Linked DNA regions of Rhinolophus ferrumequinum. The protein of the gene in region 3 interacts with the protein of the main gene of each other region in a pairwise test. Links are inferred from orthologs where the notes say so. Each region holds a gene or a part of one and is shown on either strand. Other genes may lie near its edges. The genes, in order: KIF3C, BICRAL, CDC5L and XAB2.

Region 1 (8,628 bases), on a different chromosome or scaffold from region 3:
GCAGCAGTCCCATAACAGACAATGGCATCCAGCTCATCTGTCACCTTCCGGCGGCTACAGCTCTCCCTCTCCAGACTGGGCTTCCCTGCCTCAGGAGCCCATGCTCCTGAGAAGAAATAAGAAATGGCAATGTTTGGCTTTCCCCAGGAAGCGACCAGCTCATGGTTCCTTGTGTCCTTCCTCCCACCCTCCAGGGTTGAGGACTCCAGGGACCTAAAAATGCCAGGAACATCTGCAGCACTGAAATTTAGCAGGTCTGTGGCTGGCCTGGTGGGGCCTCTGCAGCTCAGCTCCACCTCCGGCCTGGAGGCTCCCCGGGGGAGGATCAGCTCCGGAAGGACAGAGGCCCTGATACCTCTCAGGGCGACGGGAACTGGATCTTACTGGGATAAGGCGTAGGTGTGGGGGTCAGCTGGTTTGCTTCTCAAATTAATACAGGTCAAAAATGATCGGGTTGGAAGAGTCTCAGAAATCTCCCAGGCCAACCTTCTATTTTACAAAATCAGAAACTGAGGTTTGAGGAAAAAAAGGAAGCAACTTACACAAGGTCTCTCAATAAGCTGTAGAAGAGCTGGGCCGACACTCTAGGTCTCCGGTGTGGAGCCCCGTGCTCTTTCCAGCCTCTGAGTGATTCCCCAAATGATACCATGCAGTGGCGCCTGCCCCGCATGGGCCCCGTGGACTGCTTTTGCAGGGAGTAGAATCCATTCCTAGTCCCCCCTTGCCATCCAAGAACTGAAAGAGCACGAGGCCCATGGGTTCCTGCTCAGCTCTGCCATTTCGTAGCATGTAACCATGGACATGTCATTTCTCTGAGCCTTAGTTCCTCACCTGTAAAATGGGGATTTAAGGACCAGCACCCTGGATGGCTACTGTAAAGATCAAATGAGATCGTGTACGGGGGGCATTTTGTTAACTGTGAAATGCTATCCAAATGTCAGATATTATTAAAACAGTGTAAGGTCTGAAGGTGCTGCAGAGGGAGGTCACAGGGAGGAGGCTCTGCAAGAGTGAGAACCCACCCCAGATGAGGCTGAGGGCCTGCCTGGCCGTCCCGTGGACTTGACCGCTATTAGGGGGCCACTGGCAGAGACTGACATGCAGCAGGTCAGACCAGCCCACGCTCATTGAGAGACCACCTGCCTGCGTTGCTCTGTGTGTGTGTGTGTGTGTGTTTGTGTGTGTGTGTCTGTGTGTGTGCGTCCATCCTCTTAGGTGCCCCTGGGAGGCTCTGCCTGGAATTTACCTGGCTGTTCCAGGGGAGTATTTGGCAGGAAGGCAGTGTATGGTGCAAGGGGACGACACGATGCTTCAAGCCATGTCACAGACCTGCTGGCTCAGATCCCTCTGGGGACCTCTGGATGCCCCTGCTCCCTCTGGGGCCCTTACCTTGTACTTGGCTGCGAGCAGCTCTGTGGCCTGCTGCTCACGTCTCAGGTCCTCCAGCATCTTTTCCTTCTCCTCCAGCAGCTTCTGCTTCTCCTCGCTCACCAGGCTGCGGTCATCCTGGATGGCCGCCTTCTCCTCCTCCAGCCGCTCCTTCTGCTCCTGGAGGTAATTCTCCATGTTCTTGTCCCAGGTGGACTCCAGGCTGGGCGGGGGCGGGCGGTGGTTGTTGTTATTATCATCCTCCTCTTCGGCCACCCAGGCCTCCACCACTGGCCCCTCGGGGTACCCGGCCGGGGCTGACACAGCCTTCTTCCTGCGGCTGCTCTTCCTCCGGAGCCGCTTCCCCAGCATCCCTTTCTTCTCCAGCTGGGCCTTCAGGCGGGCGATCTCCTCCTGGAATTCCCGCAGCAGCGTGTCCTTGGGGTCTTCGTTCACCCGGGGCTTGTTCTTGATGTTCTTGGCCCGGTTGGCAAAGCGCAGGGTGGAGAGGCTCTCGTCGTAGCTGTGAGAAGCTGGCCCCAGGGTGGCCACCATGATGGTCTTGGCGTTCCCCCCGAGAGAGTCCTGGAGGAGCCGGGTCAGCTTGGAGTCCCGGTAGGGAATATGGGTGCTCCTGTTGCCCGCCAGAGCAGCGATCACGTTGCCCAGGGCAGACAGCGAGAGGTTGATTTTGGAGGCTTCCTTAGGCCTCTCTCCACCACCACCGCCCCCTCCACCGCCGCCAATCCCGGTGGACTGTGTGGCTGTCCCCCCAGCTGTGTTGGGGCCTGCCTTATTCTGCCGCTCACTGCCAGCCAGGTCCACCAGATTGAGCTTGCCCACACGGATGTGGTCCTGGCCATCAGAGCCACGCTCACTGCACTCCACAGTGATGACGAAGATGGCATGGGAGCGGGAGCTGACCTCATTCATGTGTGTGCTACCCACCGCCCGGGTCTGGTTCCCCAGATTCATCACATGCTCGATCTCCTTGACATTCTTGGTGACGAAGGAGGAGAGGTCCTTGATGTAGACACCTGTCTCCGGGTTTTCCTTCAGCTCCAGCCTCTTGCCGGGCTCCTTGGAGAGCAGGTCTCGAATCTCCTCCTGGTAGATCTCCAGGTAGGAAGCCCTGACCAGGTACTGCTGGTTTTGGGAGCGGGAGATGTGGGTGAAGATGTGCTCAAAGGCATTGGGGATGACCCCACGAAGCTCTGGTTCCACCCAGGTCCCTTGCATGGTGTAGGTCTTGCCAGTGCCCGTCTGGCCATAGGCAAACACCGTGCCATTGAAACCCTGAAGCACCGAGTCTACCAGGGGCCTCACAGTTTCATCATACAAATCAGCCTGCTTGGAGCTGGCATCATACACGGCATCAAAGGTGAAGGTCTTGGGCAGCTCCCCCAGGGCAGCGCGGGGGTTCCGCAGGGTCACCTGGCCCAGTTTCACATCCATGGTCAGAATCTGCTCGTGACCAGCAGCGTCCTCCTTCCGGCTGAGGGGTCGGCACCGGGCCACCACCTTCAGGGCCTCGCTGGCCTTGGTTTTACTGGCCATCTTGCTCCTCTATCTTTCCCGGCCCGCGGCCCCCTCCGCAGCCCGGGCAGTCCGGTGGTCCCCCCTAGGTAGGTATCAGCAGGGCCGGCCCAGCCCCCAGGCTCCGCTCTTCAATCCGCATGCAGCCTCCTAGGGTGGGGATGCTGGGAGGTGGCCCCGCCGCTGCTGCAGTCCGGGCCTCCTCCACTCTCCGCTGCACCGGCTGGGCAGAGAGAATTAGGCAGAACCCCCGGGCAGCCGCGGGAGCCGCGCCGGCCGAATGGCAGTGCCGGGAGCCCGCCCCATGCTGGGGCAGAGGAGCGCTGCCGTAAACAGCTATGGCAACAATGAGATAAAGGAAGAGGAAAATGGGATGGGGGTGGGCGGCAGGGCTGTCTTCTCCTCCTCCTCCACCCCCGCCTCTAGGGATCCATGGCGGTGGCTGCAGGTCCTGGGCGGCCGGGGGTCCCGGCCCTCCAGAGGGCAGAGGCTCACCTGGAGTCCTCTCCCCCAGCTGGGGGATCATTCATCGCAGCCAGCGCTGCTGCTGCTGCCTCTGCCTCCGCCTTCTCCGCTGCCGCCACCCGAGAATGAGAGAAAAACAGAAGGGGATGGGGCGGAGCAGCGGCGGCGAGAGTGATGTTGCAGCCGCGCTGCGGCCCCAGCTAAGCCGCCCGGCTGGGGTGGGGCAAGGGGAGGGGCCGCGGGGCGGGAGATGCGAGCCCAGCGATGCCGGTGCGCGGGGTCCAGGGGTGCATCGCCGACCCGCACCCCAGCAGACCCCTCCGGAATGACAGGCTCGGGGGCCGACCCACGTCCTGCGCCCACCAGGCGGGTGCAGCGCAGCCACCGCCCGCCGTCACCCCACTGGGCCTGAGCATGCTGGGAGTTGTAGTCCTGCCTTTGTTAACCCGCATCCGGCAGGTTGCTGCTGCCTTCCCCAGTCCGGGAGGCCCCACCCTTTCTGGCATGCAACCGCCTGGAGTGACTGCTGAGGTTGCAGCCGCTTACCTGGTGGGGGAAAGGGGGTGATACACCACCCAACATTGTTGCTCCACAGCCACCATCCTCCATCTCTCCAATGCTCCAGCCTTTCTGCTTGCAGACGGTACATGTCACTGCTCCCTTGCAGGGTGTCACCGGGTATCCTGACTCCCAAATGTTTCTTTACTCTGTCCTTTCTTCTCCCTACCCTGGTTTAGTTCTGGCCTTCCTCTTCTCTCTCCTGGAACCACCTTCCAGCTGATTCTCTCCTCACCTGTTCTCTGCTCTTGCAACCTGGTCCCCTCCCCTCCTCCTCCACCTTCTCTGTTGTATAAAAGGCTCTCCATCTTCTGACCCCTGCCTTACTTCCCAGCCTCCCTTCCAGCTACTCCTGTACAGAATCTGTATTCCATTCCTTCAAAGAGTTATCCAGCACCTGCCAAAACCCAGGTCCCATTCAAGGAACTGGATCTTCCTGTCCTCAAGGAGCTCCCATTCTAGAAACCATGTTTTGTTTATCTGGCTGTGCCATGTTGCATCTTTATGTCCAGAGGACCCTGTCACCCTTCTGCACTTGCTGCCCTGCCACTTGGGAGTTCAAGCACCTCCTCTGTGAAGCCTTCCCTGACCAATGTCTTTTCCGTAGCTGAAACAGACACAGAATTTGCATAAAACAAAACTTGGGTTCCAGTTCCAATTCTGACCTTCACACAGTTGTGTGAATCTGGGCATCTCTTACCTTGCCCCAGCCACAGTTTCCTCATCTGTTTAAAGAAATCAGAACAGGGGGAGAGAAATAATACCTACTTCAGGGAGTGGTTGTGAGTCTCAAATGAAACAATGAATCATAAAGTATTGTACCAATGAGAAGACTTATTTTTAAGTAAGCCCTTAATAACGCACATAGCCTTGGCTTGCCTGATAGTTCCTGCTTCCTCCAGCATTCTGGATATGCCAGGTCTGTGCTTGGTGCTTCTCTTTGGGGTCTTCATATTTTCTTCCTGTAGGATATAAATCAAGTGTAATTCCTCAAGTTCAAGGACCAAGCCAGTGGCCTACCCATGTTCCACTCTGCAGAGGGGAGTTGAATCTGTGGACTGGGCCCCAGTTAGCTTTACCTTCCATATGAGATCCAGATTGAGGAGGTGCTGTTATCTGAAATCTCGAGGTGCTTCTTCATAGAGCCACCAGAAGAATCTGTCTACAAAACATTTCCAATCATGTTATTCTCTAGAGAGCCTAGTTGTTTAGTTGTTCAACTCTACAGAATCTGTCTCCTCACTTCTTCCCCATCTTCAAATCCCCAAGATCTGAATGCCAGCTCAAATGGAAGCTTGAGGCTTAGCTGGTGGCTGGCCCACTTCTGACGTTTCCTGGCTTCCTAGCCCTTTCTTTCATCAAACTCCACTGCTTGTGATTAACTTGGCTTTCAGACCAATTACTGGGTGGGATTTGGGCTTTGTAGACTAACCTCTCTTGGCTCTGGCAACCTGACTTTTGGATGGACCATTTGACTCTTGAACTATTTTCGTGTTGCACTTGGCTTTGGTTTCTGGACTATCCTTTCTCTGCTTTGGCTAACTCACCTGACACTACGGCGCTGGATAAAAGGGATTCCGGCCCTGTTCTCCCCACCTGATGTTACCACCTGGCCGGGCATTTGCCCAGATCCTCCCATATGAGAGGGAGACTGGATTCCCATTACTGACAAGATTTACGACTCTGAGGAAATTATTCATCTTCTATGAACAGCTCTTTTCTCAGTGGGAGAAGTAAGGATAAAAATGTTTACGTGACTCACAGAGTTTACAAGAGGATTAAGTGAGATAATGTATGTGAAAACTCCCAGAGCATAGAAGTCATTCAAGAAATAATGTTCCCTCCTTTTGTCCTTTGCATTCAGGTGGTTCACATTCTTTGTCTCCCTTTTCAGCATGGTCTTCAGCCATCCTTCCCCACCTTACCCTCTTAAATACTCAGGTCTCTAGTCCCTCTGGTTTGTTTAAGATCCTCCAAACACACTACTTTTTCACATCTCCATGCCTTTGCTCATGCTGCTCCTTGGCCTGAAATGTCCTCCTACCTTTGTCCCTGTCTACCGAGCCTCACCTTCTCTTCATGCCACCACTCGATCTCATATGGCTTCTCCTCCAGCCGCTCAATAGAAATTTCCCTTACCAGGGACATCAGTGAACTCCACGGCCAATTCCAGTGGGCCCCTTTCAATCATCCACTTCCTTCTTTGTCAGACTCACTGCCCATGGTTTTCATGGCCCTGAACTTTTCTGGTTTTCTTCCTACAGCTCCTAGGAGTCCTGGTTGCTCAGTTTCAGTCTCCTTAACCAGTTGATCTCATTCAACCCCAACCTTAAGTGTTGGAGTTCACTAACACTAAGTCCTACATCCTGTTTTTCTTCTCATGCCACCCTCTAGTGATCACTACAGCTGTGGCTTCAATTATTGTCTAAATGATTCCTAAATCTGTATCTCTAGTCCAGACTTCTCTGAGCTCCAAATCTATCTATCCAATTCGCTAGTGGACATAGCCACTTGAATGGCTCTTATGCATCCTGAAATTCTACCATTCTCCCATCCAAATTTGGTCCTCCCAGAATATTTGCTAGCTCTGTAAACAACGTTTTCCCCACCCTCAATACATCCATTCAAACACCAAATCCTATCAACTCAACTTCCTAAATATTTCTCAGATCTATCAACTTCTTCTCCACTTCCACAGCCAGTATCATGACCCAAGAGATGATGGCATCTCTCGTCTGGCCTCCTACAGTCGCCTCCAATCTGGTCTGCCTAGGTCTGCTCTTGTTTCCGTCCATCCATTCTCTATAATCTTTTAATAACACGTGACCCCCATGCTTAAAACCTTCCAGTGCTTCTCATGGCTCTTAAGGGAAAGCCCATGTCATGAATGCAGGCCCCAAGGCCCTACATGATCTGGTAACGTCTCATGTCTCCTGTCACATCTCATGCCACTCTCCACTTTGCTCTCTGATCTCATTACAATGACCTTTTCCAACTCCCTGCCAACTTCCTACCACAGGGCCCTTACACATTCTGTACAGCTGCACAGAACAATTATCCTCATCCTCCTTGCCTACATACCTACTCTTCATCCTTTAGCTCTCAGCTTGAATGTCACTTCATGAGGGCACCTTTCCTGACTTCCTCATCTAGATTATGTCCCTTTGTAATATGTTCTCATTCATCCCTGTATTTCTTTCACAGAACTTAGCATAATTGTAATTAAATAATTATTCATCCACCTTCTCTGTTGTTCTATGAAGACATAATATGTCTGTTTCATTCATTTTTTGTATCCATATGACTAATCTAGTTCCTGGCACATAGTAGGTGCTCAATAACTATTTTTTATGAATATGAATATTACCTCTCCTGGGAAGCCTCCTTTGACTCCTCTGATTCTGCCTTCTAACTAATCTTTCCTTTCCTCACGATTCTATAGCTCATTGTTAACTAGTCTCACAGCTAGTCTGACTTGTACTGTGGTTAACGGCATCTGTCTCCCTCAACATAATGTACGTCTCCCCGAAGACAGAAGCTGTGGTTTTTGTCTTTGTGTCTCATTTCCCCATACCTAGCACAGTACTATATACACTTTAGGTAATCAATATCAGTTGCTAAGTGAATGAATGTTCCAAGACCTTCAGGGCAAAAAAACAGGGAGGCAAAATAAAAAAAGTAATAGTGATAAATTCTTACATTTGTAGGAGTTACAGTTAATAGAGTATTATCACATATGTTACTCACTTGATCCTCATATCAACCCCAAGAAAGAGGAAAATATTAATATTGTGAGGACGCTAAGCTTCAGGCTAATAAAGTGACTAAGGAAGGAAACCCACCCACCAAGTGGCATAGTCAGTCTCCAGACTCCAAACCTGCAACCCTGGGGGTCTTCCCCCTATGTCACAAGGAATGCTTACCGTGGAGATGGCAGAGCAGTTGCTTCCCAGTCCTGGTTTCAGCGACAGTTTCATTGGAGTTCAGACCCATCTTTGACTTGAAAAGAAGAAGCTTCCTTCACTGCTGAAAGTTGTTTTTTCCCCAGGGGATTCCCATATCAACCTCTTCTTCCAGCATGGTTCCAGTGACAGCCAGGCAGAGATTATGCCAAGAAGACAGAGTTAACTCTTTAGTAATCCTGAGGGCTGCAAATTTTCAGGTCCAAGTAATTCAGGATTTGGGTTTACACTGTAAAACCATGTTCTATCAGCAGAGGGAGACATGACTATGTGACAAAATCAATGGATGAGATCCAAATTTCTGGGCTCTCACGCACTGTGATATTATCTAATTCAAGAGACCCCCAATTGTGTCCAAGTCTAGATTAATTATAGTTCCTCTTTTCTCAATACATTATTTTCCCCTCCCTCTTCTGTAATTTCTGGTGAATAGGATTTGAGTCAACTCCCCATGCCCTTCCTGAAAAGAACAGAAAAATCTGAAATTAAAAAAAATCTGAATATTAAAAAAGCGCTATCCTTAGGAGCTACCCTTTATTGAACACCTATTAGGGGGATTGTGGATGATTTATCTTAACCTTCACATTAACCCAGGTGGTACTGGGACTGGAGTCTAATTTCCCCAACTCCAAAGCCTATATACTCTTCCCACCATCCTGTACTGGGCCCCAGGCTCATCTCTCAATCCAGGCCCTACCTGGACTAACTCCACCTTCTTCTTTCAACATCCATTTCAACT
Region 2 (7,849 bases), about 1.3 Mb from region 3:
AAGAGATAATAAAATCAATATTGCAGGACCGATACAAACAGGAATTAAATAAAGCACCAAACACAGTTCTTGGCATACAGCAGTGTTCAATGTATGGTAGGTCTAATTTAAGGGTCTAAAACATCCACTATTGTGTGTGTGTGTATGTGTGTTTTAAACACAAGGGCACACTTACTGGTGCCACTGTTACTTTTATTCACTACTAGAAATTAACTATTTTCCATTTCTGTCGACTCAGAGATGAGAGCTTTAGATTTTTTTCATTCTCCCAATAATCTTTTCAGTGACAAAGTTAAAATCCAAACTTTTCTTAATATGGAGCTACTACAGGACAGATACTTATACAGATGCTTTGAAGGAAACCTTTAACACTAGAAATGAATAAATCTTATTATATGTAACTTATTTATCGATCAAGTTATTTAAAAACAGTGATCAGAATACAACTTGAAAAGCATTACTGCCAACTCCCTGCTTGCCCTTTAATCTTGTCTTCAGTACAGAGGAAATGGCAATATTTTGGAACAATATTTTGGTAGGAAACACCACTTTTTATAAGATTAAAATACCCATTCAATACCACTGAAAGTTCATCTCAGGAAGCAGGGTTGTTCTACTTAGAGATGTTTATTTTCTGGTCTTTAAGATTCGCCATGCCTGGGGATAAAACTATTATTTTGACTTAAAACTTTTACATATTAATTTCATTGTTGCCCTAATAAAGTGTGACTGACTAGCTAATGAGTTACCCCATGTCCTCGATTCAAACCACATACCTTGATGACTGCTAGCAGACACCTTTGGTGTGACAACAGCCACTCACCCCAGGATGGGCCCTCAGCAAAAGCAGAAGTGACTAATATTCATTTGCTCTCTGCTTTTTAAAAATTTATTGGGATGTACAATTTTATACTACATCATCTGTATATAGCATTGTGTTGACCACCCCAAGTCAAATCTCCTTCCATCACCATATATTTGACCTCCATTAACCTTTCCTAACTTCCCCTTCCCCTCTTTCCCTCTGGTAACCACTAAACTGTTGTCTGTGTCTATGAGCTTTTGTTTGTTAGGAGACACTAACTAGTGAGTTGAGGAACTGAGAAGCCTTATATTGAGCAAGACCCAAAACAGAGCAGTTTTTCTTTTTGAGAAAGAGAAAGGGGAAAGTCTTTCAAAGTGAGTATTTCAAAGCGAGTTTAATTTTTCAGATCAGAGTTCTAAGAAACTTTTAACATACTACCATTGGAAAAGTAGTATGAAAACCATCAAGAAGTTTCAAATCACTGGAACCCATTACCTTTCCACAATTTGACTAGATAAATGTCTCTCCAGGGTTGTTTTAAAATATAACCAAGTAAAACAAACCTAACGTTGGGTACCTAAAGAGAACCAAGTTATTGGAAGGCAGGCACACACTGTCCTGGACTTTTTTGCAATTTTGTAACCTGCTTTGACTCTACTCGCAAAATTCATTGGAAGAGGATGAAGGAAAAGCCTCAATGCCCTGCCCGCGGCCAGACCAGGGACACAAAGCCGTCTGGTTTCAGGCCGTAGGAGAGAAGACGGGAACCCCCTCACCCCAACGTTGGCCGCAGGGATCCAGGCTCAGGGTGGGAACCCAGCAGCTGCAAGGCCCGACCCCCAGCCCACTCCTTTCTTCACACTTGAGTGGTAAGGAGCAAGATGCCGCGGGGCCCCAGCCCCTGTCCCCTCCGAGCCGGCGGTCTTCTGGGTCTGGGGAAGGACAAAGCTACCCAGGCCGGAGCTCGGCAGTGCGGCCCCCGGCCCCATGGGCAGCTTTCCGCACCCAGAGCGTGGCTCCCCCCGGCTTCGATCTCACGGCGCCGGGGCCCGCGCGGCGCCCACGAAGGGCGCCGCCCGCGCCGCCAGGGAAGATGGCGCCCGCGGAGCAACTGCGCCACCAGCCCTGGCGACGAGCCAGGCCCAGCGCCATCTTAGCGCCTTCCAGCCGCTCCCCACCCCCCCCACCGCAAGATCCCGCATTCGGGGCGACTCGGGGGGCGCGAACGGCATTGGGCCCGCGCACTGTCGGCCAAAATAAGTGCCACCCGAGTCTGTCTCCTCTTCGGCCCGGCCGGCCGCACGGGCCCCGCAGGAGACGCCTGGCTGAGCGGCGGGTCTTCCGCAAGCCGGGAGGACTCGTCCCGGCCCGGCCGCGGCTCCCCGGCGGTGCTTCCGAGTCAGGCGGCGAGGCGGCGGGGAAGGGGCAGTCCCGCCGGCAGGCACGCGCCGAGAACCCGGCCGGGGAGGCCGGGCGGGCAGCCGGCCCCGAGCGCTCCCCTCCGCGGCCCGACCCCGCTCTCCTCGTCGCGGCCGCCCGCAGAAGCGGCGGGAAGGACAGAACCAGGATGAAACACAAACCCGTTCCCCGCCGCCGCCTCCTTCCCCACCCTGACCCCTCCCCCTCCCGAGACGCGGGGTCCATTTTGCCGAGAAGAAAGAAAATGCGATTCACACCCAAGAGCTTCCAAGAGAGAAAAGAATCGTGGGGGAGGGGGAAACAGAGGGGAGGAGATTGGAAAAGCTGATTTTTCTTCCTCGCCTGCCGTCACTCCTGGCCCTCCCTGCCCCCTGCTCGCGGCCCCGCCGCGCCGTCCTCCCCTCGCCAAGCCCCGCTCCCTCCTTCCCGGCTCCCGGCGGCTCCGGGGGGCGGAAAACACACACTCGCGCACACAACTAATTTTAAATCGGCTCAATCAATGAGTCATTAAAAGGCTTCCCTCCCCTCTCCTCCCCACCACCAACCGCCACGCCACCCCCCTTCCCAGGCTCTCCCTCTCCCCGCTCCAGAAATTTGCATCCGCGGAAAAGAAAAAAAAAAGGCGTCGGGGCCCCCACCCCGCCGAGGCGCCCCCGGCCCGGCCCCGCCACCCCCTGCCCGCCCGCGCCCCCGCCCGAGACAGTGAACTTGGTCTTCCCGGGCCCGGGCGGCGCTGGGAAAGGTATAAACACTCGATTCCCCTTTTCTCTGTGTCCATTAAACATCCACCCACCACCACCATCACCCACCCACAAACCCACCCCCCCCAAAAAAAAACACAGCCTTAGCCAATAGCTCTCTGTGCTGAAACCTAATATCCTGGTTTTGGCAACTCGGTGTTTAATTTGCTCCTCTTTCTTTTCTGTCTGTCTGGAGATAGATCTCCAGCCCCCCCCTTTCTTGCTTGTCCCCTCCCCGAAGGAAAAAGGCAGAGGAAGGAGGTTGTGTGTTTTTTTTTTCTCCTTGAAATTTTTATCACAAAATTATAATACACTCAAAGGGAAACTCACCGTCATGAAAAAGCAGTGCCTTGTCAACGGGGTTTCTGCGCCATCGCACCAGGGGCGGCGGCGGCGGCGGCGGGCGCGGGGCGCGGGGCGCGGGCGCGGGAGCTCCCGGCCGAGCGGCGCCGGCCACACGCGCTCCGCTCTCTCTCTTGCTCACCCCCGCGCCGGGCGGCGGGCGCCCGCTCCCCGCGCCCGCCCGGCCTTCATGCTCTGCGCCCGGGCAAACCGCTCTCCTGCTCGTCTACCTCCAAACTTCGGTTCTTGCCTAACAAAAAATGTGGAGATTAGGATTTTAATTTAAAAAAAATTTTTTTTTTTAAATCAAGCTCCAAAGCTGTTAATTCCTGTTTCCTTTGGGGTTCTGTTTAACTTTAGAAATGTATTGGTTTATTTAAGAAACAGGTTTATTTGGCTTTTAAAAAAAATTAAGATCTACTACAAGATGCGTGCTATTCTCCGCAGGCGCCCTGCACACACACACACACACACACACACACACACACACACAACCAGTTTTAGCTCGAAGTCGGGGGAGGGTGTTAAAAACAAAAATATTTGTTTAGAACACTAATTAGAACAAGCCCCAGTAAATACTTTTTGCATATGCTTTTAAAAAGAAAAACTAAAGCGTCACTTTTAATTTAGTTAGTATTTCGCAAATAACTGATTCATTCTAACTTTTAAATGTACTAAGCTTTCCTTTGCAACACCCTCTCTTTCCATTCCAAAATAGTGTGAAACCTCATCTGTGAAGCCTGTATGTCAACATTAAACAGAAAAAAACAAAAGAAAACAACTTTAGCGGCCAAGATGAAGGTGAGGAACTGAGTAAGTCACTCTCAACACATCCAGTTCCCACTGCCTTCTCTTTACATGTAGATATACTTTATCGCCACATTTGTGGAACTTTCCTTACATAATCTCCCGTTTTAAAAAGGGAGCTACCCAACCTTTTAAGTGTAATTACCACCCATTTTAAATCTCAAATCTCACTGTGGAGACATCTCCATAAACCATCTAGCACACAGAGCGTTTAAGTAAACGTTAACTATGATAATGTGGATTGGGAGAGGGTGCCTTTGTGATCTAGATTAACTACATTGATTTGTCCTGTAAATGCCCAGGAAAATACAGTGGGGGGTTTGTAGTTGGCTTTTAGTTTAAATAAACAAGGATAGGTAAAAGATGAATTGTACAAGAATGTGATTCAGATTTTAAAAATGCATAGGCAAGCCCCAGAAATGGTCTAAAATTATTTTAAATTAATTTGTAACGCATATAGCAACGGGGTTCTGCTGATGAACAGAATGCTCAAAACCACGTCCCCCAGATGTTTGGTAAATTCTAAGTAAAATGATCCCTGGATTTAAATTATTTACATGAAATTATTATTTGGTTTCTGTATCCCTTTAGCTTCATTAAAGGTAATGGTTGTGCACCTTACTTGCTTCTAGAAGGATACTGTAACTATTATATCGCACACAAAATAAATATTTCAAGGTAGGCACAAATGTTGTCATATTCAAGATAGAAGATCTTGTAAACAAAACAAACCATATCTTGTTCAAGTAACTGCCACTCTGTCCGTTCACAATACATGCTTTGTATTTAGATATTCCTTAAAAATACACTTAGTGATTTTGTATCACATAGTATCATGGAGGTGTTTTCTCACACGTGCTTCACATTCAGCCAAGGCCTTCCTGGAACAGTAGTCTTTGCATAAATTAGCATATTTTTCTACACTGACAGTTGGACCAACCAGTTTTCTAATTGGCTTGGGAAATTTTTAAACATGTTTTAAAGTGCCTTTGGATTGGTTGGAATTTAATTATATAATACCCATTTTGAAGAATTACATTTCAAAAGAGTCCATGCATGATTGCAATTAAGACCCACCAAGCAAGTTTTACAACTGTTGCTCCACAGCTCCAATGAAATATTAATGGTTTTCAGAAAGCTATTCTCCCAAGTTGGTCAAAACCCCAAAGAAACACAAATCTGACTTTAAAAGATCGCCAAACAAAACTGAATTCATATTCCCATAAAGAGTATAGCTACTGCAGGATTTTGAAAGAATACCCAAATACAGGGGGCACTGACATCTATTGAAGCCCCACTACATGCCACTTAGATACGTATATACGTTATTGGATGAACCTTCATGAAAACCTGTACAGTAAGGCTTAGTTATATTGATTTTGCAGATGAGGTTCCCAATAATTTCAGTAATTTGCCTCAGGTCATCAGCCTAATAAAGACTGGTGGGAGAAACTCAGGTCAGATGGATTCTAAAACTTACCCTCTCTTCAAGGCCTGAAAAGGATCTTGCTGTTTCAATATAAACAGGATTCAGTGCTGTCATAGGCAGAGGGGACGACCCTCTGCTTAGTAAAGACCTACTTGGAGAATGTCAGTTGTGTGATTTTAAATTTGGGAGAGTTACAAAATATTGGGACAGCAGTGGGGAGAATTTCCTTGCGCATAGCCACATACCTCGTGTCTGAGAAAGGTGGAATTGGAGCCCAGGTCAGTCTGAATACAGAGCCAGTGCACTTAAGCGCCAGAATGTAAGTTCCTCTAAAGGTACACATAAAGGTATGCACCTTATTTATACACATTGAGAATTCTTACATTTTCATTTCACAAACACTACATGGAGGGCTTACTAATTCATCTGGTGTATTTTGGTATTTCTGTGACCTGGACGCATCTGGTCATGCAAATCACCACCTCAGCTCGAGGCACCCCCAAAATTGAAATCATTTACCATAACAAAACAAAAACAACTTAATTTTTCCCACGTGATTAAAAACATTTTAAATAAGGGATAGGCCTGTGTATGTCAAATTTAAATTATGGTATATAGAGACAGGATTTTGGTATCTGAAGGTAAGATTAGGAAACTTTTTAAGAGAAAGGTTCTTAAAATGGCTTGACTATATGCAAGTAACTTGAACTGCATTGCCTATAATTTAATTATATACACTTAAATGGTCATTCCTATGATTCCCCTCTGTGTTGGTGACCTAGAAAGAAGGGCAACTGGACACAGGAAAAAAAAAAAAGATGTAATTATAGTTGAAATGTTCTAGCATGTGTTTGGGCCTTCCAATTAACAGGCCCAACGTCCACATAACAATTAAAAGTGAAAATGCTTCTGTTTTTTTGTATTCTTCCAAATGTTGGCCATTCTCAGAGGGGAATATGCAAATGCTGGAGCTGAGGTGGTGATTTGCATGACCAGATGTGTCCAGGTCACAGAAATACCAAAATACACCAGATGAATTAGTAAGCCCTCTATGTAGTGTTTGTGAAATGAAAATGTAAGAATTCTCAATGTGTATAAATAAGGTGCATACCTTTATGTGTACCTTTAGAGGAACTTACATTCTGGGGCTTAAGTGCACTGGCTCTGTATTCAGACTGACCTGGGCTCCAATTCCACCTTTCTCAGACACGAGGTATGTGGCTATGTGCAAGTCTCTTCACCCCTCAGTGCCTCAACTTCCTCATCTATAAAATGGGGATAATTATAGTACTCGTGTCTGAAAGTTATTTTAAGGATTCAGGAACTAATGCATGTAAAATGTTTAGCGTGGCGCCTTGTTTTGGTTGTGTGTCAGGTTGAACCATGTAAAATCTTCCCGTGGAAACTCCCCAGGGGGCAATCTCATATAATTCAACCTCACATATCTCTCTCATGTTCCCTCCTGGATAGGGAGCTCCTCAAGGGATTTCCATTCTCCAAGGGCCTAGCAGAGTACTTTGGACATAGTTAGCTCACAATCAATACTTGCATGATAAAAGGAAAACAGCCCTGTCCACGAGATGTGTAAGAATACGAGAAATGAGTGTATCTCAACCTAGAGCCCTGTATATTAAAGGAGTACAGTAAGTCCTCCCTGAACCACATAAAACCATTGCCCAATTGATCACAGGCAGTATAGCCTTATAGTTTAAGGTTCCCTACTCCCCCGTATCTGTTAGAGCTTTTTCATTGTCACTTTTTAGCCATGTGATCTTACGCTACTTTTTAAAATTTGCTTACCTCAGTTTCCTCACCTGTAAAATAAAAGTAACAATACCTATCGGTATATCTCAGGTTGGTAGGGGGAGAGAGAAATGATATTAGGTACACAAAACCCTGGCTTTAGTGCCTGGTATGTAGTAAATATTCAATAATAGTTGTCATTATTATTGTGGTTAATACTATTATTAGAAGTAATGTGGAATCATTTTCAAAGCAATGGTAAATAAATTTATCTGGAGCGATTACAAATGTTTTCAATACTCTGCCTACGTTATTATTTTATTTGATACATGAATATAAACACTTCAAATCATCTTTGTAGAGACGAAGGCTATTCTAGTCATGACATATTTCAAGCTGGTTATTTTCCTTGACAGACTTAAAAAAAAAAATCTGAACTCCTACAGGCTTTTAGTACAAGGATAAGGAGTACACGCAGAACTGTTTTTGGCTCTTTTTTAAAGGCATTCAGCACTCCCACCGGCCTTGCTGTCTTACACATCTAGCCTGTTTCCCCACAGAGTA
Region 3 (7,683 bases):
CCACTACGAGAAACAGAAATCAGGACCATCTTCTTCTTTGGGGTCCAACCTCTACATTCTGATCCTTTCCCCTACCCAGGCACCTAGGAAATTAGGTCATTCTTGTACAATTCAAAATACGGTCCTCGTACCACATGGGTCAGCGCTGGGGCCAGATCACTCATGCCACAAACACCTATGAAAGTTTAGTGTGTCCACTACTCTGTGACTTAAAAGAGGACACCCCAGGTGCAGTGTTGGGTTATGTTATACTTTGGGGGAGCAAATATACAATATTTCAACTGTATTATGAGAAAACTACTGTGAACTAGCCTAGAAAATTAACCATTATTTATCATTTATTTCTTTGGGAAAGTAAGTTCTAATCAACTTTTAAAACTTTGGGAACACGATTTATAAGCTGGAGTCCATCTCTAAATAAAAGGAGAATTATTTTATGCTTCACAAAGTACTCTTTAGCACATTAACTCACTTGAGCCTCGTATCTCCAGCAGTTAAGGCCAAGATGTATTATCACCCAATTGGAAGAAAACAGGCACAGGAGAGAGGGCAGAAAAATAGCTTGCCTAAGATCACATAGGAAGCAAGTGACAGCTAAGTCTTAAATCTAAATCCCCATCTCCCACTCCATCCTTTCTGTTATATCACAATGCCTGCTTTCTTTTATAAGCTTCAAAGAACTGACATTTTCCTCATTTTAACTAAGGTCGTTTTTCTGTTTTCCATTCATTAACTGGTACATACCATCTGGCTTTGCACTGCTTTGCTGATTTTCTGTGCAGCAGTGAGGCAATCCTAGACCACTGGTTTTTCCCATATTTCATTACCGCTGCTTTCAGAATTTCATCCTTAAAGAATTGTCAGAAAAAAACAACATATTTAATCACAAAACTCCAAGCGAGAAAAGACAAAATTTAAATTAACTCTGACAGGGTAGCAAGCAAGAAAGAGAAAGACACACATACCTCCTAGGTTTTAAAAAAAAAAAAAAAGTACAAAAATCTCATTTACTATCATAATAAACAGCAAGCCAGAATCAGCAAAATGCAAGAAACTAAGAAGACATCTCTCAGGACACCCTACCCTTCTTTACAGCCTCTCCCTCCACCCCCAATAAACTGAGATGGGTAAAGCCCAATCTACGAAACCCTACTTGATAGAGGGTAACAAAACGTATTCTCCAAAGTATGACTCTCATTCTCCTCAAAAATTATACAGCTCATTCACTTATTCATTCATTCATTCAAAGAACATTTCCTGAACACCTACCTTATATCAGGTTTTGAATTGGACATATCCAACCCTCAAGTAGCAAGTTAAGACTCTAGTGATTCCATTCTCCAATCTAGGTTTCCTGCCTCCAGTTTACAAACGGCATTTTCTCTCCAATTCCATAACCCCCACTCTGATCCAAGAATCCACATCCCAGGTCAAACCTAATAATTAAGAATTTCTCCCCCGCCTCCAACCTCCCCAAGTATCTAGACACTATTTCACCGTGGCACCCATTCCAATATGGAATTAACCAATCCCAGAGGAGCCCAGCAAGCTAAGCCAAAGACAACAGGGATAACAGAGCCATAGACGAACGCACTTGGGGGCATTTTGCTTTTAGGGTTTTTCCCACATTGAACTTGAGCTATATGCCTCACACATGAGCTCTTCCACCCCACTCCACTTTCCCATCCTCAGAGATTAAAAAAGACTGCAGGGCTTCAGCCACTGGAGGGGAGTCCTGCTGTTACTTGATTTTGTACATCTGTTTCTCCCCCAGAAGTCACCTCTTCTCCAGTTTAAATGGCTTGGTTCCCTCTGTACAATGATGCAAGGTTATCACTGACTTTACTTGTAACTTTGTTGCAGTACTGCTCTAGTTAAACACATCTTCACCTAAGTTATCTACCCTATTAGATTCATTCTGCTAACATTTGCCAAGCAACCTACTTCCTGTTGGTTACTGTCCTAGGTTCTAGGGATCTGGTTCTCTTCCAGTGCTGTCTGCTGGGGGAAAGAAATAGCAAGTAGCACTTACGGAAAGACCACTATGTGCCAGATTCTGTTCTAAATGATCCAAATACATAGACTCATTTAATCTACCTCAAGAGACAGCTATTATGATCCCCATAAGAAAGATGAGAAAACTGAGGTTGTGATAAGTTAAAAAAACGTACGCAGCATTACCTAGAAGGATGTGATGCCTGCAAAAGGACAAAGCAAGCTATAACAAATGGATGAGAGAAGAGCCATGGGACCACTGGGGTGCGACTAATGTTTACAGGCTGAATGGGCAAAACTTCCAAGAAGAGGTTTTGAAGGATGGCGGAAGATGCCAAGTAGTAGGAGGATATTTAAAGAAAGCACAAGATATAAAAAGACACAGATCATGAAAAGATACGATGTGCTCCAGAAACTGACAAATTCGGTGCACTCAGGAACACAAACTGGGCTAACACCTTATCTCTATTTTACTCCGTCTCTGCTGCTCTTTGGCTCACCCCTGGCACTATCCACTACATTTCTGGAAGCAAAGAAACTACTGAAGTCAGTTGATCCCATCTGGCTTCTATCCAGGGTGAGGAAGAGTGACAGGAAGAGACAGGCCTTGGGACCTGTGGGGAGGGCAGGCAAGTTATGCCTCGATAACAGATAACCAGCGGTATGCGGGCATAAACGGGCTCTTCGAACCTGGCACTCAAGCTTATTTCCCTTTGCAAGGAAGTCGATGAAGAAACAAAGTTGTGGCCACAGCACTTCTTTATTTGTGAGTATCAAAGAGAGGCGCGGTGTCCGGGCTCAGGCACGGAAGTGCCCAGGAGACCGACTCTCGCTGATGTCCCTTCTTCCCCTCCATACTCTTGAGTTCCTCCAGCGAGAGGGGCGCGTCCTCAATTCAAGAGGTGTTCACTGGGGGGCCTAACAAGTGCCTGGCAGGTAGTCAGGTGGTTAAATCACGGTCCCCGTCCTTGAAGTGCTCGGATAACGCAGGGTCGGGAACGAAAGGCCGGAGGGTCCAGCCCGCGCCTCCCCCACGCAGACCCCGCAGGGCATCCTCCCCTCCTCGCCCACCTCCGCGCGCGTGCGCACAAGCTGCCGGAGGGGGCGAAGGGCAGCGGACGGCGGGAAAAGGAGACTTACCTCGGTATTCCTCCATACGCCCCCCTTAATCATAATTCGCGGCATCTTGGCGGTGGGGTGTCTCGGCAAGCGGCCGAGAGGAGCTTCAGAAAAGTAGTAACGGCGCTGCGGCCACGGGACCCAAAGGCACCACTTCCTCCAGGCGCGACCTTCTCCTTTGTAAAGATCTGCGCAGGCGCAAGGCGGGGCGGGGGGGGGGGAAAGCAGAGTTGCAAGTATCGCGAGAATTCGGGTGGCTGCAAGGAAAATAAAGTGCCTTGTTAAAATTCTAATATAGGAAGACCAACAGAAAACCGTCGATCCACTCTGGCCAAAGCGCACTAGGCGGCGCGCACGGCCAAAGAAGGGTGGAGGAAAAGCACGATCTTCGCGAGAAGGAACGTGGTGGTGGGATTGGCCGTGACGTCACCTAGTGGAGGAGAGTGGGCACATCATGCGTGTGGAGTTTCAGCCCAGTTGATCGGAAAAGAGCTTTTTAAATTATTAATTTATCACTTTATTAGGCGTTTAACTCATAGGAATTTATGCACGGAGTACTCAGGAAAAGGCAAGAGCTTATTTAAGCCGAAATTTCCTAACCTGTAGAGATAATAATAGTACCAACCTCATAAGGTTGTCCTAGGGATTAAATGAGATCATAAACCTAGCACAGTATCTGATACATGGTAACTACTCAAAATGTCATATCATTACAAGAAGGGCAACCCCACGTGATCAGTGGTTGTCCCAGAAACCCTCTGTAGGATGTGTGATCATTACCTCCTGCCCTCTCCACACCCAACATCATCTCAGTTGCTGTGCTTACAGTGTCACACACACGCATGCACATACTGGCTGTTTGATTTATCTGATCAAAGCTGAGCCAATTAAGTCTTCTCCCCAGGAATTTTGACACTGGAACCTAGAAGAGGCCAGTCTCTCTGCTGGTTTGATGAATCTCTTAATATGTGACACCCAGGAGTTGTCAGCCACCATGTTTTGTACGATGTAGACTAAAATGGGGGAAAAGCAGGTGCCAGATGCATTAAGAGGAGCAAGACAGGAGTGTAGAGAGACAGGTAGGTCCTGGCTACACAGAAGACCCTAGATGCAGTATGTTCCTCAAAACAGTCCTAAATGCATCCCTGTTTTGAGTTCTAATGAATAGTTCCCATTTGGGCTTTAGCCTGTTGAAGTTGGGTTTCTATTATTTGTAAGCACGATTCCTAACAAATCTAGTCCTCTCGAGAGCCATTTCAGATCTAGCATTTCAGATCAAACACCATGATGATGGTGTTTCCTTCCCCCTCAGGACCGCCTCTACCCCATTTATACCAACTTTATACCAACTAGAAAAAGGTGCCCTTTCTTCAAGGCACTTTATTGACATCTGTTGGAAAACCGTCGCAAAATACTAATGTTTTGAGAACAGGACATTCTTAACTATAAGAAAATTAGATCTACCATATCTACAATGTGAATCGGTTCCCCTAGGGGCATGCGTTATACAACCTGCCCATTCAGACAGAGCAACCCTGTCAGATATCCCCCAAGGCCTCCCTGAACATGCAAGTTGCATGTTCCATGTTAGCATTCAGAAAATGCAACATCGTACCAGTTCTGGGATGTCTCAAACCAGCGCCCCATAGCCATGAACACCAGAGGCTGTCCTCCAGCATGGCCTGGATTGGCCAGTCCAACCCACCATGTCACCCCAGCCTCCCCAGCCAGACCTCAGGGCCCCCACAAAGAGGCCAGCTCACCCCAGGGGCTGCCAAAAATCTTTTACAAGGCAGCCATGAGGAACAGTCACCATCAGTAAATCAAACTGTACCTTCTGTCATTGTGAACCTTTAGGAAAGGGAGTGGTCATTCCTAAACAGAGGCTTAATGAGAAAGAGCCTCCACTTCTTCCTCACTCACCCAAATATATTCCTCAGAACACTGGGATACTCCATTAAAATAAACAAATTTTTCACAATTACTTGAATTTGAAAAAAGCAGTACGCTCTGTCAGCTCCCTTTCACAGAGTCACCAAAATTAAAGCCTGTAAGAAGTTATAAGATGAAGAAATCGTTTTCTCCCTATTGTGGGTTGAATTATATCCCCCAAACAGATATGTGCAAAGTCCTAATCCCTGGTACCTATATGTATGACCATATTTGGAAATAGAGTCTTTACTGATGTAATCAAGCTAAGGATGAAGTCATACTGAAGTAAGGTGGGCCCTAATCCAATCACTGGTGTCCTTATAAAAAGAAGCGATGTGGACACACAGGGAAAACAGTTTGTAAAGGAGGCAGAGGTTGGAGTGATGAATCTACAAGCCAAGGAACACCAAGGATTGCCAGCAACACCAGAAGCTTAAGAGAGAGGCATGGAATATATTCTCCCTCTGAGCCCCCAAGAAGGAACCAACCTGACTGACACCTTGATTTCAGACTTCCAGCCTCCAAAATAGTGTGTGAGAGAATAAATTTCTCATTTTAAGCCACCCAGTTTGTGGTACTTTGTTATGGCAGCCCTAGGAAACCACTACCCTCCCTTTTTAATATGGCTTTTCCAAACGAATTTGACCCTGGAAAACTTTTTTCTTATAGTAGCTATTGACATGCAGGAAACACAATTTGGGAAATTCTGGCCCAGGGGAAAGAGGTTGGAGGTCCATCCAGCTTACAAAGAGGTAACAAGAGATGTTAGCAGGAGGGTTTTGTAGGTTGCATTATCCCCCACCCCACATCCCTTTTTGGGAAGCTGGTTCTGACTGGGCTAACTTTGCTTATTAGAGAAAACAATCAAAATTCTAGTTTCTGTTTCATCCTGTTTTTTGCATCAAGAAACTGTCCAGAAAAGGGCTAAAAAAAAAAGGGTCAAAAGCCTATGATAACAAGGCATGGTTAGGGGCTGGGATTAGCCACTCCCATAATCTTCGTCATCTCCCCAAATAAACAGGTGGAATTTAACTAGAAACACTGTGCTGCTTTGCAAACACAGTTTCAAAACAGTCTTCTAGCCCTACCCCATCTACCAGACTGCCATCCCTAAGCCCCTCCCTCCCATTTAGAAATTCCTCAGCTAGTGTTGGAAAAAATTAATGTCTGGGTGTCAAGTTATTACAAAATGGAATCCCATGCACCCTAAATGCTGGTAATTCACATTGTATTGCTAACCATGGTTAATCATACTAATTGGCTTGAGGTTCACCTACTGAGACTTCCCTGTGGTAGGTCCAGCTGTAGTTTGTAATTTTTTTCTCAGAAGCTCATCTTCATGAGTGTTATTTCTAGGGAGTCCCCTGTGCCCTCAGGTGGGGAAGTGTTCCCAAAGAGAATTTATTTTTTTTCTCAGGCCCCAGAGGTTCAAGGGTCTTTTTGAGCTCATTTCTCATTTTAGGATTAATATTCCAGTCGGGTAATTTATATTTAGACCCTGCATCCACATGGCACAGACTTGGGATTTACATTTCTCACAAGAGACTTTTTTTTTTTCACATGCATATACCAGACCCCAGACTTAAATGCCCAACAAAATTCTGGACGGTTCTTCCTGTGTGAGTCACAGGCTCCTCAATTTCAACTTCCCAAAATTGAACTTCCCCCAGAAAATCTATACTTCTCCACGGGATTCCTTATTTCAGTGAATAGCAGAAGGCTGCCAGCTGCCGTGTACGGGGGTTTAAGTAGTTCACTGCACAAGGGACAAATGGAGCTGAAATCCAGTTTGCACACTGCTCAAGTGGTACATTGTGGGACTGTGTTCACCAAGAGGACATCTTTCTCGAAGTGTATAAAGATACCACAGGGGTAGACTCTACATGTTACCCTGTCGACAGCACCAACATCCATCTTGCTGCCACTTTTCCTCCTCCCATACCTTCCTCCACCCATATCCAAGCCATCCCATGTAGAGTCTTGCCACTTTTACCTCTTGCCTCCTACGTAGCCCTCAAATCCCTCTCCTTTGTGCCACCTCTGCTGTAAGTTGCCAGATTTAGCAAATAAAAATATCGAACTCCCACTTACATTTGAATTTCAGGTAAACAACAAATAATTTTAGTATAGTTACGCCTCATGCATCCATTCTGTCCTCCCTTTCTAAGGGAACCCCAATTTTTACTCCAGCCCACACTGCACCCGACCAAAAGAACACATTTCTAGCCAGATGATCACACCCAGGCTCACCCCCATCACCACCAGAAGCGGCCCCCCACACCCTCTCCATATTTGGAGAGGCAGCCATAGTTCCTCAGAAAACAAGTCCCCGGGATATTAGGCTTCTTATTTGATCTGAGGCTGGGTTCCTTCATGAACAAGAAGTGTTCACTTGGCATGTACGTGTTTCTCACAAAGCCCAGGTTTGGAAGCTTCGATGCTGGCTCCTCAATTCAGCAGTGGCTGCCACACGCTCCAGGGTGGGCTCAGGCTATAACCCCTCCTTGCGTTTCCCAGCATTGAAAGGAACCAGGCATCTCAAACCGGTTCCCATATCCTTTCCCAAAGCCCACTGGGAACTTGGCCAGCAGCCCCCCTAAAAGGTGCACCATACCATAGTTGGCACATTGCTGAGAT
Region 4 (7,693 bases), on a different chromosome or scaffold from region 3:
GCTCAGTTGGTTAGATCGCAGCTCTGAATAACAGGGTTGCCGGTTCGATTCCCACATGGGATGGTAGGCTGTGCCCCCTACAACTAAAGATTGAAAACGGCAACTGGACTTAGAGCTGAGCTGCACCCTCCACAACTAGATTGAAGGACAACAACTTGGAGCTGATGGGCCCTGGAGAAATACACTTGTTCCCCAATATTCCCCAATAAAATTTATTAAAACAAAAAACAAAAAAACCTAAAGACTCCACCAAAGAACTATTAGAACTAATAAATTCAGAAAAATCGCATGGTACAAAATCAATATACAGAAATCTGTGTTTCTATACACCAATAACAAATGATCAGAAAGAGAAATTAATAAAACAATCCTATTTACAACTTCATCAAAAAGAATAAAATACCTTGGAATAAATTTAACCAAAGAGATTAAAGACCTGTACTCTGAAAAGATACTAAAGAAACTGAAGACGATACAAATAATAGAAAGGATATACCATGCTCATGGATTGAAAGGATTAATATTGTTAAAATGTCCTTATACCTAAAACAATATACAGATTCAAAGCACTACCTGTTAAAATATCAATGGCACTCTTCTCAAAACTAGAACAACTAATCCTAAAATTTATGTGGAACTACAAAAGACCCCAAATATCCACATAAACCTTGAGAAAGAACAAAGTGGGAGATATCATGCTCCCTGATTTCAAACAAAGCTACAATAATCAAAACAGTATGGTACTGGCATAAAAGCATGTATGTGGATGAAAGGAATAAAGCAGAGAGCCCAGAAATAAATCCTCATTTATATGGTCAATTAATCTATGACAAATGAAGCAAGGATATACAATTGAGTAAAGACAGTCTCTTCAATAAGTGGTGCTGGGAATATTGGACAAATACATGCAAAAAAGTGAAACTGGATCACTTTTTTTTTAAAGATTTTATTGGGGAAGGGGAACAGGACTTTTATTGGGGAACAGTGTGTACTTCCAGGACTTTTTCCAAGTCAAGTTGTTGTCCTTTCAATCTTAGTTGTGAGGGTGCCGTTCAGCTCCGGGTCCAGTAGCCGTGTTCAATCTTAATTGCAGGGGCGCAGCCCACCATCCCTTGCAGGAGTAGAGGAGTCGAACTGGCAACCTTGTGGTTGAACCATGTGGGAATCGAACCGGCAGCTTTTCGGCATTAGGAGCACGGAGCTCCAACCGCCTGCGCCACCGGGCAGGCCCCCTGGATCATTTTCTTACACGTTATGCAAGGATAAACTCAAAATGGATTAAAGACTTAAATGTAAGACATGAAACCATAAAACTCCTAGAAGAAAACATAGGCAGTAAAACCTTTGACATCCATCTTAGCAGTATTTTTCGGATATATCTCCTTGAGCAAGGGCAACAACAACAAAAAATATAAACAAATGGGACTACATCAAACTGAAAAGTTTTTGCACAGTGAGGGGAACGATCAACAAAATGAAAAGACAACCTACTGAACAGGAGAATATAGTCGCCAGTGATACGTTCAATAAGCCGGTAATATCCAAAATATATAAGGAACTCATACAACTTAACACCAAAAAAACAAACGATCCAAGTGAAAAATGTGCAGAAGACCTGAATAGACATTTCTTCAAAGAGGACATACAGATGGCCAACAGATATATGAAAAGATGCTCAACGTCAATAATCATCAGAGAATTTAAAATCAAAACCACAATGAGATAGCACCTCACTCCTGTCAGAATGGCTGTCATCAATAAATCAACAAATAACATGTGCTAGTGAGGAAATGGAGAAAAGAGAACCCTCAAACACTCTTTGGTGGGATTATAAATTGGTGCAGCCACTATAGAAAACAGTATGGATATTCCTCAAAAATTAAAAATAGAACTACCTATGACCCAGCAATTCCACGTGTGTATTTATCACAAGAAGACAAAAACACTAATTCAAAAAAGATAAATGCACCCCTATGTTCACTGTAGCATTTCTTACAACAGCAAGATATGGAAGCAACCCAGGTGTCCATCAATGGTTGAATGGGTAAAGAATGGGATATATAGTGGAATATTACTCATCAATGAAAAAGAATGAAATCTTGACATTTGTGACAACACAAATGGACCTAGAGGGTATTATGCTAAGTGAAATAAGTCGGACAGGAAAAGACAAATACCGTATGATCTCACTTATATGTGGAATCTACGAAAACAAAACAAAACAGAAAAAGATCCATCAGTATGGACAACCATCTGATGGTTGCAAAAGGGGGCGATGGGTAAAAAGAAAATATCCTCAACACAAGAAAAAAAAGAAAATAGTGTCACTATAGTCAAGCTGCTAAATTACTAAAAAGTCAAGTAGACTGAGAAACAAGGCAATGCATATATTCTTGTTTTAACTATCATGGGAACTTGACCGTTTGAACTTTCCAGTCTTCTGTCACTGCCTGGATATATACATCAGTTCACTGTGTGTCAATACGTGGATATACACCAGACCTCCAGAAAACCCCCTTAATACCCCCCTGAAGGCAGTATGCAGGCCACCTGATGTCCATCATCCAGACCATCTGACATCTGACTGATAACCCTCCGAGACCCTCCAGGTGAAGAATGCAGAACTGATTACTCTCAGGAACGTGCTTTTCACCATAAGAATTCAACTTTTCTTTCCTGTTTAGAACACTTCTGGGTTTCTGCCTCGCTATGTTTCCAGTTTGCAAACTCTAAGACCCTTGAATAAATCTTTACTAGTCATTTCTACCTAAAGCCTCCAGACTGCCTTTGAGTTCGCAGGGCAACACCAAGAACCTAGCGAAGATACTGGGCCTCTACTCCAGACACCAAGTCGTTGCCTCTTCAGGATTCCACTGGCCATTGCCTGACCAGCTTCACATCAGCAGGTCTTTACTTCTGACCCCAGGGTTCTCCTTAGCCAGACACCAGGCCTTTATCCCAGAAACTATGACGCTGAGGACCAGATCTAGGCTGTCACCCAAGACACCAAGCCTTTACCACAGAAACCCAGAGCCCTGGCCTGGTCACCATGCTTTTACTTCTGACACCAGGCCTCTCAATTATTCAGTTATTCGAATTTCCCTCCTCTCCCGCTCCCATTTCCGCCCCTGGCCCGGGACGCCAGAGCTTTAACCTCGACAGCAGTTCTTTGCTCAGGCCCCCGGGCTCCGGCACCAGACCTTTACTCCTGGCCAGCCTGACCGGGACATCACCATACGGCCTCTGGCCCATTACGGTCCTCCCGCCCTTGGCCTAGATCCCCGGGGGGCCAGGCCCTGACCGCCTGCGGCATCCAAGCCCCTATGTCCCCACACAGGCCACCCCTTGCCCCGCAACAAACTCACGAACACAGGGTCCGGCCGCTCGGGCCGCGAGAGCCGAGCCATCACCACCATTTTGCTGGCTCTCCAGCGACAGGAAGGAGTCGCGTTAGAATGACGTCTTGCTCTGCAGGCCAACCCCGCCCTCCCCCTCCAGCTTCACTTTCTATTGGCTGACCCCATCCCGAGACTGCTACACAAGTTGTTGACTTTCACTTAGACGTCGCTAGCGACCAGAAGCAGAGAGTAGGAGCCCGGAGATGACGTCATCCGGGGCTCGTCGGCCAATCAGCTTCAGTGGTGGGTCCCGCGAATTCCCAATGAGCTGCTGCTGTTTTGCTGGAGGGGGGTGGCTTTGGGCGGAAGCTGCTTTGTAGCCTCGGAGAAGCGAAATGGGGGTGAAGCTGGAGGTGTTTCGGGTCAGTGGGCACTCGAGCGGGTGGGCGGGGGCGTTTTCCTGGATCTGAGAAGGAGGCTGTAAAAAAAGGGGATTCCAAGAGAGGGCGCTCTGGGGAGAAAGATGCTGAGATTTGAGAAGGCCCTTCAGGGTTGGAAACCCAGAGAAGGGGACGCCCGGTTCGGGGGGCTCCGGGAAGGCTGGTGTGAGGAAGGGCCTCTAAAAGGGGTGATCGGGGGTGGGGGCTCTAAGACGGAAGGCTCCAGACTCTGGGGGAGTTCTTGGGCTCAGGATGGGTGTGTGTGTGTATCCGATAGGGAGACTCCTAGACTAGGGGAGTAGATTCTGAAGAATGAGGGGTTTGGAGTGCTCCTGGGAACTGACCTGGGGAAGCTGGGTAACGAAGTCTCAAAGAGATGCCTATGCTTGTGGTAGGAGCTCCTGTACTCCTGGGGCCAGGAGTGTGTGTCTTTTTTTGAGAGGGAGTCTCCCTTACTTGGAGGCAGCTTTCAAAAATAAGGGCTCTTGTATTATGGGGTCTAGACTCCCATAATCCCAGGCTGCTTGGGGGGCCCTGAAGAAATGCCTCTGGGTTCTGCCAGAGGATGGTCCTCCAGGCTCTGAGCAACCTCAGCACTTCGGAGGAAGGTGATTACCGCTGGCTCTGCTCTCCCATCTCCCCACCTTCCAGATGACACTCTACCTCACCTTCCCTGTGGCTATGTTCTGGATTGCCAATCAGGCCGAGTGGTTTGAGGACACCGTCATACAGCGCAAGGTGGGTGCAGGGAGAGTGTTCAAGGGTTCATTGCAGGGGGTGGGGGAGGGTATGGGGCACTAACCTGCTAGGAACAAATGTCTGCCTCCTATGAGCTGAACTGCCTTGGGTGTGGGGCTCTGGAGGCTCTTGGCTCATCCATGACTTTGTCCCCACAGAGGGAGCTGTGGCCACCTGAGAAGGAGGACCAGGTAAGTGACATACTCCTCCTCCCACCAGAGGGATGGAAGGGCCTGGGTCCCTTTGGCCTTGATGGATTCAAATGAAAATGTTACCCTGGGTCATAAGAAGGGAACTGAGAGCGGAGGAGCACATGGTTTCCTTATTGTCCTCTCCCTGAAGGATGAAGCTGATCCCACTTGGGCCCTTCTTGTAATTGGCACAGGGCTTCCAGTGTAGACACTGAACGCTGAAGCTGTGGCCTGGGGAGTAGGGGGCAGAGTGGTGGGGGAAAGGACCAGGCCCTGAGGTATGTGCCCCCCTCCTTCCTTCCCATCCCACCTCTTCCTCACTCTCAGCGCCAAGAGCTAGAAGAATTTAAAGAGAGGATACGGAAGCAGCGGGAGGAGAAACTCCTTCGCAGTGCCCAGCAAAGCTCCTGAAGCCTCCAAGTCCCAGGCCCTCCATCCATAAAATAACACACAGTCAGTTCTTTGTTGCTCGTGAAAGTGTTTTTATTGTCTGCTTTCAGGGGGCCCGAGTGGGGCCCAGGACAGCTCAGGCCCTCAGGGGGCTTGTGTCTGGGGTTGGGGGCTGCTGTTCCGACGGAAGCTGAGAGCAGTCGGGTCCTGAGGGGTGAGGAGGGGTTGGGGGCTGAGGGTCCCGGCTCGTTTCTGCATTCCATCCTGTGGATGAAGAGAGGTCAGCCAGAGGGAGGGACCAAGGGCAGGAGGGAACTGAGAGCGGAGGAGCACAATTACACTGGAAGCCCTGTGTCAATTCCACCTCCGGGCCGGAGGTGACACAAACAGTGGAGGGAGGGTGCAGTTTGGAACCAGTGTCCCAGCTCCCACCATCTGCCCCCACCATCTCCAAGCTTCTACATACCTTAGTTACTCGACACTTAGAGTGGTATTTGGGTGTGAGGTGGGGGTCCTGGGGATCACACTGGGGTTTGATCAGAACCCAATCTCTGCATGACTACATGTGACATAGATACACACGAGTGTATGGATGCATGTGTCCTGTGCATGAGCTCATGGGCCCTTCGCCCTGGGAGAATCTTCCCAGGAGGGGTGTTCTGTTCTCTCTGGCCTCCCTGAAACCCTCATACATGGGGGCAGGAGCCATGAGTTCCAGCCGTGGCTCTGACATTAACAGGGCCCCTGCCTGACCTTGGGCACCTCTTGGCCCTGTGTGGGCCTTCATCCTCCTGTCTGCAGTCAGGTATTAGATTGGCCAGGGCCTCGTGATTGACAGGGACACAGGGTGGCTCTCCTAGGCATTCATCACGAGGGGACACATGAAGGACAGAGGTGGGGGGGCCATTCACTCCGGGCCGGGGGTGGGAGGCAGGGTTAGGGGGCTCAGCCTGCTTGGTGTCTCCTCAGCCCCAGCAGAACATCACCTACCTTGGGACCCACAGGCTGGAAGCCAGGCAGGGCACTGACTGTCACACGCTGGTCATCCATGCGGCGGCCCTGGGTGCTGGCCAGCATGTCCATGAGACTGTCCATCTCCGGCGCAGGGCCACTCTCTGTGTGGAGTAGTGGCAGGTAGGGATGAACACACACAGAGTCCAGGGAACACAGCCCAGCTGAAGGCCCCGGCCCACCCCTTGCCCCCACTCACATTCTCCAGGAAGCATGCTCTTCTCTCCCCCACACCCTTACCCCCAGACCCACAGGCATCTGTGTCCCCAGTTGCTGGCTTACTCTCTCAGACAGACTCTTGCCCACAGGCCCCCCAGATGGTCATTTGCCCTGTACCCCTACAGTCTGCCCCGTCGCAACCCCCAGAAAGCACACCTCCCCTACTCCCCCACTGCCCACTCACGGCTCTCGGAGGTTGTTCCTGGCCCTGCCTGCAGTGAGCAGCGCTGCTCCTCCATCCGATCGCCCTGCACATGGCTCAGCAGGTTGAAGAAGCCCTCTTGGTCCGGGGAGCCCGCCTGGGGGACAGACACACCTGGTCCAGCTGGCCCCTCAGTTGGGGGACCCCTTACCAACTACCACCCTGCCCTCCCCTCCACCTCGGCTCTCACCATAGTCCCCGCTGATGTGCTGCTCTGCAGAGCTGCTCTGAATGAGACACAAGTCTCCTTCCCAGCCCCTGCCCCCGGGGCTCAGCCAGCAGAGCCACTTCACGTGGTGCCACCTCAAGGGAGAGGCCGCTGGTGTCCCGCAGTCCTAGATTGGGGCCTGCCTGCAGGGTAGCCTGGGGGCTGGGACAGCAGCTAGGGAAACATACCACAGGCTGCCCCCAAGCCCCAGCGTCCCCCCAGCTCACCCAGGCCATCTGAAAGCGTTGACCTCTGCCCTGGGGCCTGGGTAGGCACTCAGACCCTCGTTCCCACCAGCACCTCCTTTACCAGCAATCTAGGTCAGGGGTCCCGGGAGACTCAATCACTAATTAGGTGCCCTACAAACTAGTCAGTCTTGTCATTCACAGCTCTTGAGGAGTTGGGGGTGAGTAGGGGTGGGCCTGCTTACCTTGACACAGGGGGTTAAACTCCCATCTACCTTCTCTTCCCGGTCCATTCTTGTCCCTGCTCCCTGGCCCTGTCCACTTCTCTGCTGGCCTCTGGCCCAGACCTGTGCCAGAGAAGGCTTTTTAAAAGTGGGGAGAGTGGATACCCAGCCCCAAATCCCCGGCTCACACCCCATCTGCTCCCACCCAAGCTTAAGCCCCATAAAGATGATCCAGATAATTGTTTTCGCTGTGCAATGCTGGGGTTGCCATGGGGATAGAGTACTGGTGACCTGGGAGGGGACCTTGCTGATCCTGCAGGACTCACTGGCCCCCAAGAACTCTCAGGTGGCGTGCAGCAACAGTGGGGAGCAGAGGCTGGCTGGTCCCGATTGGGAGAGGAGAAGCCAACAGAGCAGCTCTGGTGGGGTCTGCAAGCCCACCAGCAGGAAGAAATACAGGACTGTCTCACCATACTGGAAGGCAGTTGCCATCTGCAGATGGTAGGGGAAGGGGAAGCTGGACCTGAAGACCCCTGAGGCACCACTA

The links.
Region 1: the proteins of CDC5L (region 3) and KIF3C interact in a two-hybrid assay, tested with the Homo sapiens proteins (2 studies listed by BioGRID and IntAct). The link is inferred for Rhinolophus ferrumequinum from reciprocal best matches to the Homo sapiens genes CDC5L and KIF3C.
Region 2: the proteins of CDC5L (region 3) and BICRAL interact in a two-hybrid assay, tested with the Homo sapiens proteins (2 studies listed by BioGRID and IntAct). The link is inferred for Rhinolophus ferrumequinum from reciprocal best matches to the Homo sapiens genes CDC5L and BICRAL.
Region 4: the proteins of CDC5L (region 3) and XAB2 interact in a two-hybrid assay, tested with the Homo sapiens proteins (2 studies listed by BioGRID and IntAct, with this or other methods). The link is inferred for Rhinolophus ferrumequinum from reciprocal best matches to the Homo sapiens genes CDC5L and XAB2.

What each region holds. Positions count from the first base shown.
Region 1 is NC_046296.1:54,369,654-54,378,281, reverse strand, and holds the start of KIF3C (kinesin-like protein KIF3C), read right to left. Parts: upstream 3,472-8,628; 5' UTR 2,926-3,471; coding exon 1,390-2,925; intron 1-1,389.
Region 2 is NC_046286.1:12,313,211-12,321,059, reverse strand, and holds the start of BICRAL (BRD4-interacting chromatin-remodeling complex-associated protein-like), read right to left. Parts: upstream 3,375-7,849; 5' UTR 3,295-3,374; intron 1,675-3,294; exon of another isoform or gene 1-1,674. UniProt on the Homo sapiens protein: Component of SWI/SNF chromatin remodeling subcomplex GBAF that carries out key enzymatic activities, changing chromatin structure by altering DNA-histone contacts within a nucleosome in an ATP-dependent manner.
Region 3 is NC_046286.1:13,593,668-13,601,350, reverse strand, and holds the start of CDC5L (cell division cycle 5-like protein), read right to left. Parts: upstream 3,300-7,683; 5' UTR 3,181-3,299; coding exon 3,136-3,180; intron 849-3,135; coding exon 745-848; intron 1-744.
Region 4 is NC_046301.1:56,686,183-56,693,875, forward strand, and holds the start of XAB2 (pre-mRNA-splicing factor SYF1), read right to left. Parts: upstream 3,485-7,693; 5' UTR 3,417-3,484; coding exon 3,366-3,416; intron 1-3,365. Other genes in the region: protein PET100 homolog, mitochondrial, read left to right, coding at 3,734-3,760, 4,430-4,516, 4,675-4,707, 5,035-5,118; PCP2 (Purkinje cell protein 2 homolog), read right to left, coding at 5,242-5,361, 6,088-6,212, 6,512-6,626, 6,965-6,973. UniProt on the Homo sapiens protein: Involved in pre-mRNA splicing as component of the spliceosome. Involved in transcription-coupled repair (TCR), transcription and pre-mRNA splicing.